3 linked regions of the Callithrix jacchus genome follow. The protein of the gene in region 2 interacts with the protein of the main gene of each other region in a pairwise test. Links are inferred from orthologs where the notes say so. Each region holds a gene or a part of one and is shown on either strand. Other genes may lie near its edges. The genes, in order: MEAF6, L3MBTL2 and ZFY.

Region 1 (3,651 bases), on a different chromosome or scaffold from region 2:
GTTCAGGCAATTCTCCTGCCTCTGCCTCCTGAGTAGCTGGGATTACAGGCACATGCCACCATGCCCAGGTAATTTTTTTGTATTTTTAGTAGAGACGGGGTTTTACCTTGTTGACCAGGATGGTCTCGATCTCTTGACCTCGTGATCCACCCGCCTCGGCCTCCCAAAGTGCTGGGATTACAGGCCTGAGCCACCGCGCCCGGCCTTGTTTGTCATTTTGACATGACCCTATTACTCTTTGAGCATTCCATTGCTTTCTGGCCCAAAAGATGTCCCATATTTACCTTGTGCATTTTCTGTCCAAGACCTGGTATCAGCCATTCCTCTTGGGAACCCTGGTTCTTTCTTTAAATTTGAGAATTAAGTTTATTTAAGAGACACTTCATATCACTAATCTGTTCTGGACTTTTAAAATAATAAACATTAAAATAAATACATTTGGGCTGGGCACAGTGGCTCATGCCTAGAATCGCAGGCTGAGGTGGGCAGATCACCTGAGATCAGGAGTTCAAGACTAGCCTGGCCAAGAAGGCAAAACCCCATCTCTACTAAAAATACAAAAATTGGCTGGGTGTGGTGGCTCATGCCACCTTTAATCCTAGCACTTTGGGATGCCAAGGTGGGTGGATCACTTGAGATTGGGAGTTCGAGACCAGCCTGACCAATGTGGAAGAACGCTGTCTCTACTAAAAATATAAAATTAGCTGTTTGTGGTGGCACATGCCTATAATCCCAACTCTCAGGAGACTGAGGCAGGAGAATCGCTTGAACCCAGGAAGTGGAGGTTGTGGTGAGCCGAGATCACGCCATTGCCTGGGCAACAAGATTGAAACTTCGTCTCAAAGAAAAAAAAAAATTAACCAGGCATGGTGGGGTGCACCTATAGTTCCAGCTACTCTAATAGAGGCTGAGGCAGGAGAATTACTTGAACCCAGAAAGTGGAGGTTGCAGTGACCTGAAATTGCACCACTGTACTCCAGCCTGAGAGACAGAGTGAGACTCTGTTTCAAAAAGAAAAAAAAAATAAGGCCAGGTGCAATGGCTCATTCCTGTAATCCAAGCACTTTGAGAAGGCCAAGGTGAGTGGATTATAAGGTGAGCAGTTCAAGACCAGCCTGACCAACATGGTGAAACCTGTCTCTACTAGAGATAAAAAAATTAGCCGGGTGTGGTGGCATGCACCTATAATCCCAGCTACTTGGGAGGCTGAGGCAGGAGAATTGCTTGAACCCGGGAGGTGGAGGTTGCAGTGAGCCGAGATTTTGTCACTGCACTCCAGCCTGGGTGACAGGGTGAGATTGTCTCAAAAACAAAAAAAAAAAGGCTGGTTATGGTAGCTCATGCTTGTAATCCCAGCGTTTTAGGAGACCGAGGTAAGTGGATCACCTGATGTTAGGAGTTTGAGACCAGCCTGGCCAGCATGGCAAAACCCTGTCTCTACTAAAAATACAAAAATTAACTGGGCATGGTGGCGGAGATTGCAGTGAGCCGAGATTGTGCCACTGTACTCCAGCCTGGGTGACAGGGCATGGTGGCAGGCACCTGTAATCCCAGCTACTTGAGAGGCTGAGGCAGGAGAATCACTTGAACTTGAGATGCAGAGATTGCAGTGAGCCGAGATTACGCCATTGCACTCCAGCCTGGATGACAGAGCAAGACTTTATCATACATACATACATAAAATGAACATGTGAAGCAACTAAATCTCATGTCCCACAGTGGGGCATATACCATATATTGGAAACATTGCTTTCTGTGTTCAGTGTAAAGGTCATTTGGGCCATTTTAAGTGATTTGGAGGCTTCCTGTATGGAACATGGGTCCTGGGGCATTCCTAGCTTGAGCCATAGACATAGCTTGGTGCTCATAATGAGATTCTTCTGTGTGTTTTAGAAACTCCAATAGCAAAAATGATCGAAGGAACCGGAAGTTTAAGGAAGCTGAGCGACTCTTCAGCAAATCCTCAGTTACCTCAGCAGCTGTAAGTGGTGGCGGTGGGGGAATCTTTCTGTGGGCTGTTGTTGGGGAATGTGAGTTTTCTCCTTCCTTTCCTCTGGGAATGCTCTTCTGAGGTCTGTGGTCACTTTCCTAGTAACTGGTGGCTTTTCTTTTAGGCAGTAAGTGCATTGGCAGGAGTTCAGGACCCGCTCATTGAAAAGAGTAAGTTTATGTTTTTATGTTTCTCATCAGTTTATTTTTAAGCTACCATAGCCCTTATATTTAATTCATACGGTTGTGTATCTGAGGACTGCATTTCTTATGCTCTTCCCTCTTCTTCCTAGAAGTTATTAAACTTTTAGGGTATCCTTAATCATGTTTTCTCCACTTCCCCACTTCAGACAAGATCTTACTCTGTAGCCCAAGCTCTGGAGTACAGTAGCATGATCATAGCTCACTGCAGCCTCAAACTCCTAGGCTCAAGCAGTCCTCCTGCCTCAGCCTCCTAGGTAGCTAGGACCACAGGCATCTGCCACCACACCTGGCTAATTTTTAAATATTTTAAAGAGACAAGGTCTCACTATGTTGCCCAGGCTAGTCTGGAATTCCTGGCATTAAATAATCCTCGCACTTAAGCCTCCCTAAGTGTTGGGATTACAGGCGTGAGCCACCATGTGTGACAAATCATATTTTTTCCTTTTGAGGAAGAAATTATGCAGCCTTTCTTGCCTCTTCTGTCACATGAAGATTGGCTTTTACATCTCAAAGACAGAAAGATATATTGTCATTCCTGATAAATCTTACGACTTCTTAGGGAATTAAAACAATAAGTTTTATGGACAATTTCAAATATATCTTAAAAATCCTCAAGTACCCATGTACCCAGTTTAATAATTCTTAGAAAATGCTCATCTTGGCCCGATGCAGTGGCTCACGCCTGTAATCCCAACACTTTGAAATGCAGAGGTGGGAGGATCGCTTGAGCCCAGAAGTTCAAGACCAGCCTAGGCGACCAAGCCAGACCCTGTCTCTACAAAAAGTTAAGAAATTAACCAGGCTTGGTGGCATGTGCCTGTAGTCCCAGCTATTACAGAAACTGAGATGAGAGGATCGCTTTAGCCCAGGAAGTTGAGGCTGCAGTGAGCCATGATCATGTCACTGATCCAGCCTGGGTGACAAAGTGAGACCATGTCAAAAAAAAAGAAAAGAAATGGTCATCCTGTAAACAGGATGTACCTGTCGGTTCTTAAATATAAAATGGAAAATGGAGAGACAGTACCACTTACTTTGTAAATTAATTCTGTCTTAATGTTTTTTTGCATGTAAGCCATACAATCTGATTTCCAGTGATGGATTATAAATTTGTGCATTTATCTTTCTGAGTCAGACTCAGTGTAGCTGTATTGGATGTTCTCTGTGTATTTCATCACCTTGAAATACAGCCTGTGCTCGGTATTACTGTGTACTTCTTTTCAGATGGTATATCTTGTTGTTGGATCTAGTTCTTTTGTTTGCATTGTGGCAGTGATATGAGGAAAGGGATTTTAGTCGTTTGGAAATTAGAAGTACTTAATCATTATCTCCATGTACAGATTTCTAAATCTGTGGCTCTGCCCTCTGCCTTTTTCCTGGCTTTAATCCTACATTTCCTTTTTTTTTTGAGATGGAGTCTCACTCTGTTGTCCAAGCTGAAGTGCAGTGGTGTGATCTCAG
Region 2 (3,651 bases):
AAACCTGGGGGCTAATCCCAGTTCTAAAATTTTCAGTTGTTTACCTTTAAGTGAGTTACTAAAATTTCTTTTTTTTTTTTTTGAGACAGAGTTTCACTGTTGTTACCCAGACTGGAGTGCAATGGCACAATCTCAGCTCACCGCAACCTCCACCTTCTGGGTTCAAGCAATTCTCCTTCCTCAGCCTCCCGAGTAGCTGGGACTACAGGCACGCACCACCATGCCCAGCTAATTTTTGTATTTTTAGTAGAGACAGGATTTCTCGACTGCGCCCGGCCGAGTTACTAAAATTTCTGAGCCTTTAAAAAGGAATTTTTTGGGCCAGGCATGGTGGCTCAAGCCTGTAATCCCAGCAATTTGGGAGGCCAAGGCAGGTGGGTCACAAAGTCAGGAGTTCGAGACCAGCCTGACCAATATGGTGAAACCCCGTCTCTACTAAAAATACAAAAATTGGCTGGGCATGTGTGGCACCCGCCTGTAGTCCCAGATACTCCGGAGGCTGAGGCAAGAGAATCGCTTGAATCCAGGAGGTGGAGGTTGCAGTGAGCCGAGGCCACTGCACTCCAGCCTGGGTGACAGAGCAAGACTCCATCTCAAAAAAAAAAAAAGGAATTTTTTGGCTGGGTGCAGTGGCTCATGCCTGTAATCCCCGCATTTTGGGAGCCTGAGGTGGGCCGATCACAAGGTCAGGAGTTTGAGACCAACCTGGCCAACATAATGAAACGCTGTCTCTACTAAAAATTATCTGGGTGTTTTGGTGGGCACCTATAATCCCAGCCACTTGGGAGGCGGAGGCAGGGGAATCACTTGACCCTGGGAGGCGGAGGTTGCAGTGAGCCAAGATTGTGCCACTGTACTCCAGCCCAGGTGACAATGTGAGACTCTGTCTCAAAAAAAAAGGAATTTTTCTAAAAATCAATTTTTTCAGGGTCATTGATTTGACTGAGAATGTCAAGCCCTTTAAAGTACTCCCAAACTGTAGCTATTAATATTACCAATATTATTATTAGCTCTTTGAGGAGAGGGATCTTTCTGTGTCTTGACTAAAATCTACAAAATGGGGGAAACAATGATAATTGTCTCACAAAGGCAATACAGTGTATGAAGCAGGAAGCAGAACGATCTTGCGCACAGCAATTTCCAATAAACGTTGGTGGTTCTCAAGGTTTGCGGCACAGGAAGATCACCTGTGGCGCTCTTTAATCTCTCTGTCCAGGCTACACTCCATCCCAATTAAATCAGAACCTTGAGGAGTAGGACCGAAGCATCAGTATTTTTTAATTAAAACTTTCCAGGTGATCCCAACATGCAGGCTAATTTGGGAAGCAGTGTTGCAGATGCTGATCACAGCTACTGGGAAACAACATAAGACCAGGCCCCTGAAGTTGGGTTCCAGCCTCAGTTCTGCCACTCTCTTCCTACAGAGCCACACCAGGTATGTCATTCTACCTCCTTGGACTTCAGTATACTTATCAATAAATGTGTGGGTTCAACACCACATTCAATAATCTTTCCATGTCTCAAAAATTGGCAAGACTTTCTAGGTAGCTGCCTGTGACACGGAGTCACATGAGGCATGGTCTTCCTGAAGTCACCATGGCCGGTGAACCTTGGGTCTGCTTCCCAGCTTTCTTTCAAAGGATTTATACAAGTGTGGGGTGAAGACCAAGGGTGTCCTACTCCCCAGGGTTCTTGTTTAAAACGTACTGAGTACCCCAGACTCTGGGGGATGAAGGTAGGGAATGTAGGGTAGCTTCAGGAATCTATAAATTAACAAGCTCTATAAATGAATTATTCTATCCTCTGAAGTTTGAGAACATAATAAATACCAGAGGGCCATAAGCAAGATGCTTTTCAAACCTTCCTGGCCCTTGCCTCCAGTCAATTGGTGGCTCCTGTCTCAGCACCGAGGGTTCTGGGGAGGACCAAAGTAGCTGCCTCTCACCTGTAATCTGGCCAAGATACTGGCTTTCTTGGAGTTGGAGGAGTAGCTCCTGGAGCAGGAGACGCTGCAGAACCTCTTGGTCTTGGAGAAGAAGGCTTCCCGTGTACCCACGATACCACACATCTCACAGACAGCTGGGAAGAGAACTTAGCACATGACTCAGCTGCTACAGCCACCTCAAAGCAAACAAAATGATGGGCCCTTCAAAATATGGGGCACTGTGTTCACCGGGTGAACCCCTGCACCAACAAAGGCTAATGGAATAAGCGGAGGAATGGGAGGTACTGGTGGGTACATCTGAATCCACCTGAACAAAGTGCTGCTGCTTGGCCTCCCTCGACTACGTATGTCAACAGAGAGGCTAATGGGAACCCCTGAGGATGACTCGGGGTACAGGTGAGTGCTGAAAAGTTTGTGAGAGGAAAGTGAGATAGCCAGGTGTGGTAGCTGCTGTCTGTAATCCCAGCACTCTGGGAGACCAAGGAGGGAAGGTTGCTTAAGGGCAGGAATTCGAGACCATCATGGGCAACCTAGCAAGATCTTGTTGCAAAAAAAAAAAGGGCAAGGTGTGATGGCACACGCCTGTTGTCCCGGCTACTTGGGAGGTTAAAGCAGGAGGTGCTTGAACCCAGGAGGCTGAGGCTGTAGTGACTGAGGATCGCACAACTGTACCTCTAGCCTGGGCAACACAGTTAAAACAGTCTCAAAAAATTTATAGGAAGAAAAAGTGCCAAAGTCACTTAACCTCTCTGGCTCTATTTTCTCATCTATATAGTAAGGAGACTGAACTAGATCAGTGTTTTAATCCTGACTTCACTATTAGACCCACCCTGGGAGCTTCTAAAAATGCCCCAGCTGGCCGGGGGCAGTGGCTCATACCTGTAACCCCAGCACTTTGGGAGGCAAGGTGGGTGGATTACCTGAGGTCAGGAGTTTTAGACCAGCCTGGCCAACATGATGAACCCTGTCTCTACTAAAAATACAAAAAATTAGCTGGGCATGGTGGTGGGCACCTGTAATTTCAGCTACTTAGGAGGCTGAGGCAGGAGAATCCCTTAAACCTGGGAGGCAGAGGTTGCAGTGAGCCAAGATTGCACCATTGCACTCCAGCCTGGGCAACAAGAGCAAAACTCCATCTCAAAAAAAAAAAAAAAAAGCCTGAGCCTAAGATATTAATGAATTGGTCTGTGATGGGATACTGGCATCTGTAGTTTGTTAAAAGCTCCCCCAACGATTCTAATATGCAGAAGCCCTGGTCTAAGTGGTCTCTAATGGTTCCTTCTAGTTCTAAATCCTAAGATTCTAAGAGAAGGTTTGGAAGAAGATAGAAGGGGGAAAAATAAAAGGCAAGAGACAAAAAGACAAGATGAGAGCTGGGCATGGTGGCTCACACCTGTAATCCCAGCACTTTGGGAGGCCGAGGTGGGTGGAATCACGAGGTCAAGAGATCGAGACCATCCTGGTCAACATGGTGAAACTGTGTCTCTGCTAAAAATACAAAAAAATTAGCTGGGCATGGTGGCACATGCCTATAGTCCCAGCTACTCAGGAGGCTGAGGCAGGAGAATTGCCTGAACCCAGGAGGCGGAGGTTGTGGTGAGCCGAGATCACGCCATTGCACTCCAGCCTGGGTAACAAGAGCAAAACTCTGTCTCAAAAAAAAAAAAAAAAAAAAAAGACAAGATGAATAGAAAGGAAATAAGATT
Region 3 (3,651 bases), on a different chromosome or scaffold from region 2:
ACTTGGGTATGCGGGCTCTCTTTTGGTTCCATATAAAGTTTAAGGTGGTTTTTTCCGGGTCTGTGAAAAATGTCATTGGTAGCTTGATGGGGATAACGTTGAATCTGTAAATTACTTTGGGCAGTATGGCCATTTTCATGATATTGATTGTTCCTAACCATGAACATGGAATGTTTCTCCATCTGTTTGTGTTCTCTCTTATTTAGTTGAGCAGTGGTTTGTAGTTCTCCTTGAAGTTGTATTCCTTGTTAGTTGTATTCCGAGGTATTTTATCCTCTTTGTAGCAATTGTGAATGGCAGTTTATTCTTGATTTGGTTCTAAGTCTGTTATTGGTTTATAGGAATGCTTGTGATTTTTTGCACATTGATTTTGTAACCTGAGACTTCGCTGAAGTGCTTACCAGTTTCAGGAGATTTTGGGCTGAGACGATACTATCATGTTGTCTGCAAATAGAGACAATTTGGCTTCCTCCTTTCCTATTTGAATACCCTTTATTTCTTTGTCTTGCCTGATTGTTCTGGCTAATGTACAGATATGTTACATAGATATACATATGCTATGGTGGTTTGCTGCACCTGTGAACCAATCATTCAGGTTTTTGGTTTTTTTGTGGGTTTTTGTTTTGTTTTGTTTTTTCTTTTGATATGAAGTCTTGCTGTGTCGCCCAGGCTGGAGTGCAGTGGCACAATCTCGACTCACTACAACCTCCACCTCCCAGGTTCAAGTGATTCTCCTGCCTCAACCTCCTGAGTTTTAGCTGGGACTACAGGCATGTGCCACCATGGCTGGCAATGTTTTGTATTTTTAGTAGAGTTGGGCTTTCACCCTGGTAGTACAGTCTCCATCTCCTGAGTTTGTGATCTGCCCACCTCTGCCTCCCAAAGTGTTGGGATTTATAGGCATGAGCCATTGCGCTTGGCCCATCATCTAGGATTTAAGCCCCACGTCCATTAGGTATTTGTCCTAACGTTCTCCCTTGTTTCTCTCCCCACCCCCAACAGGTCCCAGTGTGTGATGTTCCCCTCCCTGTGTTCATGTGTTCTCATTGTTTGACACCCACCTATGAGTGAGAATCTGCAGTTTGGTTTTCTCGTTCTCTGTTAGTTTGCTGAAGATGATGGTTTCCAGCTTCATACTTGTCTCTGCAAAGGACATGAACCCATTCTGTTTTATGGCTTCATAGTATTCCATGGTATATATGTGCCAGCATATGGCTTTTTTGTGGGGAGATGGTTTAATGTTTCTACAAGTTGGGTTTTGTTGTTGTTGTTTGTTTTTTTAGATGGAGTCTCACTCTGTTGCCAGGCTGGATGGCAATGGCACAATGTCAGCTTCCTGCAACCTCTGCTTCCAGTTTAAGTGATTATACTGCCTCAGCCTCCTGAGTAGCTAGGATTACAAGCGTGCAGCACCATGTGCAGATAATTTTTGTATTTTTAGTAGGGATGGCATTTCACTATGTTGGCCAGGCTGGTCTCGAACTCCTGACCTCAGGTGATCCACCAGCCTTGGCCTCCCTAAGAGCTGGGATTATAGACATGAGCCACCATGTCCTGACCAAGTTGTTGTTGTTGTTTAATGCAACCAGTATTTGAAAAAAGTAAGCAGCAGCACTGTTATGGACGATACTGTGTTGCCATATTCCAAGGAAAGATATGTATGTTTTGATTGTTGCTTTATAAACAAATTGTAGTGAAAGCCAAGAAACAGATGACTATCTCAACCAGTATCTATTTTTTCCTACTAATGCATTTTTTTCTGTGTGATCTCTGTAAACCCAGTCACAAATATTTTAAATTTATTTTCTGCTTAGACGTTGCTGAAATTGCTGATGAAGTTTATATGGAAGTGATTGTAGGAGAAGAGGATGCTCCTGCTACTGTAGCAGCAGCTGCTATGCATGAACAGCAAATTGATGAGGACGAAATGAAAACCTTTGTGCCAATTGCATGGGCAGCAGCTTATGGTAAGTTACATAGTAGCTAGAAGGATTGAATGTTTTTGAACATTAATTAACTGTTGAAAATGGTTTCTGTGTCTTAGAGTTTCAGGATTTGAGCAAATGTAGAGAAAGATTACATAGTCTCCCTGTTGCCTTTAATTTTAATATGAACTTTTTTCGTGACTTTATTATGTAAGAAGCCAGGAGCTTTTTTTTTTTTTTTTTTTTTTTTTTTGAGAAGGAGTTTCGCTCTTGTTACCCAGGCTGGAGTGCAATGGTGCGATCTCGGCTCACGGCAACCTCAGCCTCCTGGGTTCAGGCAATTCTCCTGCCTCAGCCTCCCGAGTAGCTGGGATTACAGGCATGTGCCACCGTGCCCAGCTAATTTTTTGTATTTTTAGTAGAGACGGGGTTTCACCATGTTGACCAGGATGGTCTCCATCTCTTGACCTCGTGATCCACCCGCCTCAGCCTCCCAAAGTGCTGGGATTACAGGCTTGAGAAGTCAGGAGCTTTCAATCTCACATTTTAAATCTTGGTTTATATGTGACTCATAACTTTACAATTTTGGGAGATAAGAAGGGAGTCCCATAGAGCAACATCCTGCTTGATACAGAAGCTAGGTACTAACCATGGTCTTGCCATAAATATTTCCATAAAACCCATTATCTAAAATTGCAGGCCGAGTGTATTGGCTCAGGCCTGTAAACCCAGCACTTTGGCAGTCTGAGGCAGGTGCATCACCCGAGGTCAGGAGTTTAAGATCAGCCTGGCCAACATGGCAAAACCCCCTCACTACTAAAAACAAAACAAAAAAAAAATGAGCTGGGCATGGTGCTGTGGTCCTGTAATCTCAGCTGTTCAGGATGCCGAGGCAGGAGATTGCTTGAAACCAAGATGGGGACGTTGCAGTAAGCCAAGTGTGTACCACTGTACTCCAGCCTGGGTAAGAGAGCAAGACTCTTATCTCAAAAAAATAAATGAATAAAAATAAAAAATAAAATAAAATAGGGAATTTCTGTCATTCATGTCAGGATTTCTCATTGTTAATAAATAATTCCAAATCTTTAGAATTTATAATGCTGTGTAATTTTGTGTTTTAATGCACATTGTTAGGTAATAATTCTGATGGAATTGAAAACCGGAATGGCAGTGCAAGTGCTGTCTTGCATGTAGATGAGTCTGTTGGCCTCAGCAGACTGACTAAACAAAAACCAAAGAAAAAGAGAAGATCTGATGCCAGGCAGTACCAAACAGGTGAGGGTTCATGAGTTCCATGGTGCAGTGTGCTCTGAGAGCCGTCAGAAGAAACTATAGTATTATGTATCCACAGGGGTGTTTTAATGACCGAACTTTAAGCTGCTAGGCCACATGTATTTTTGTGTATTTTATTTGAAAAAAGAATTTCAGAATTCTTCAATATTCAAGAATGATTTCCTTGGATAAAAAGAAACTGGTGTGCATCAAACATTCAGGAAAAAGAATTAAAATCCTCTGGTGATTTTAGTGGAAAGGAAAATACATTTTTAAAATGTTAGCTAATTTTAAGTGAACAAAATTACATGGATCAACTGATGGCAGCATCAAACAGGCATAATTTACAGTGCAGCAGGATAAGTTACTTAGGTTATTTATAGGACAGATTATTTTTCTGTGTTGTTTTGCGTCTTTGCATATTAAAATTTATTTATAGGCATAGTTAAGCCTA

Evidence for each region.
Region 1: the proteins of L3MBTL2 (region 2) and MEAF6 interact in binary tests that used the Homo sapiens proteins (3 or more experiments, as listed by UniProt). The two-hybrid records come from large-scale screens. The link is inferred for Callithrix jacchus from reciprocal best matches to the Homo sapiens genes L3MBTL2 and MEAF6.
Region 3: the proteins of L3MBTL2 (region 2) and ZFY interact in binary tests that used the Homo sapiens proteins (3 or more experiments, as listed by UniProt). The two-hybrid records come from large-scale screens. The link is inferred for Callithrix jacchus from reciprocal best matches to the Homo sapiens genes L3MBTL2 and ZFY.

What each region holds. Positions count from the first base shown.
Region 1 is NC_133508.1:74,062,506-74,066,156, reverse strand, and holds part of MEAF6 (chromatin modification-related protein MEAF6), read left to right. Parts: intron 1-1,893; coding exon 1,894-1,981; intron 1,982-2,114; coding exon 2,115-2,160; intron 2,161-3,651.
Region 2 is NC_133502.1:192,016,909-192,020,559, reverse strand, and holds part of L3MBTL2 (lethal(3)malignant brain tumor-like protein 2), read right to left. Parts: intron 3,434-3,651; exon of another isoform or gene 3,339-3,433; intron 2,080-3,338; coding exon 1,946-2,079; intron 1-1,945. UniProt on the Homo sapiens protein: Putative Polycomb group (PcG) protein. PcG proteins maintain the transcriptionally repressive state of genes, probably via a modification of chromatin, rendering it heritably changed in its expressibility.
Region 3 is NC_133525.1:4,094,514-4,098,164, reverse strand, and holds part of ZFY (zinc finger Y-chromosomal protein), read left to right. Parts: intron 1-1,814; coding exon 1,815-1,967; intron 1,968-3,059; coding exon 3,060-3,200; intron 3,201-3,651. UniProt on the Homo sapiens protein: Probable transcriptional activator. Binds to the consensus sequence 5'-AGGCCY-3'.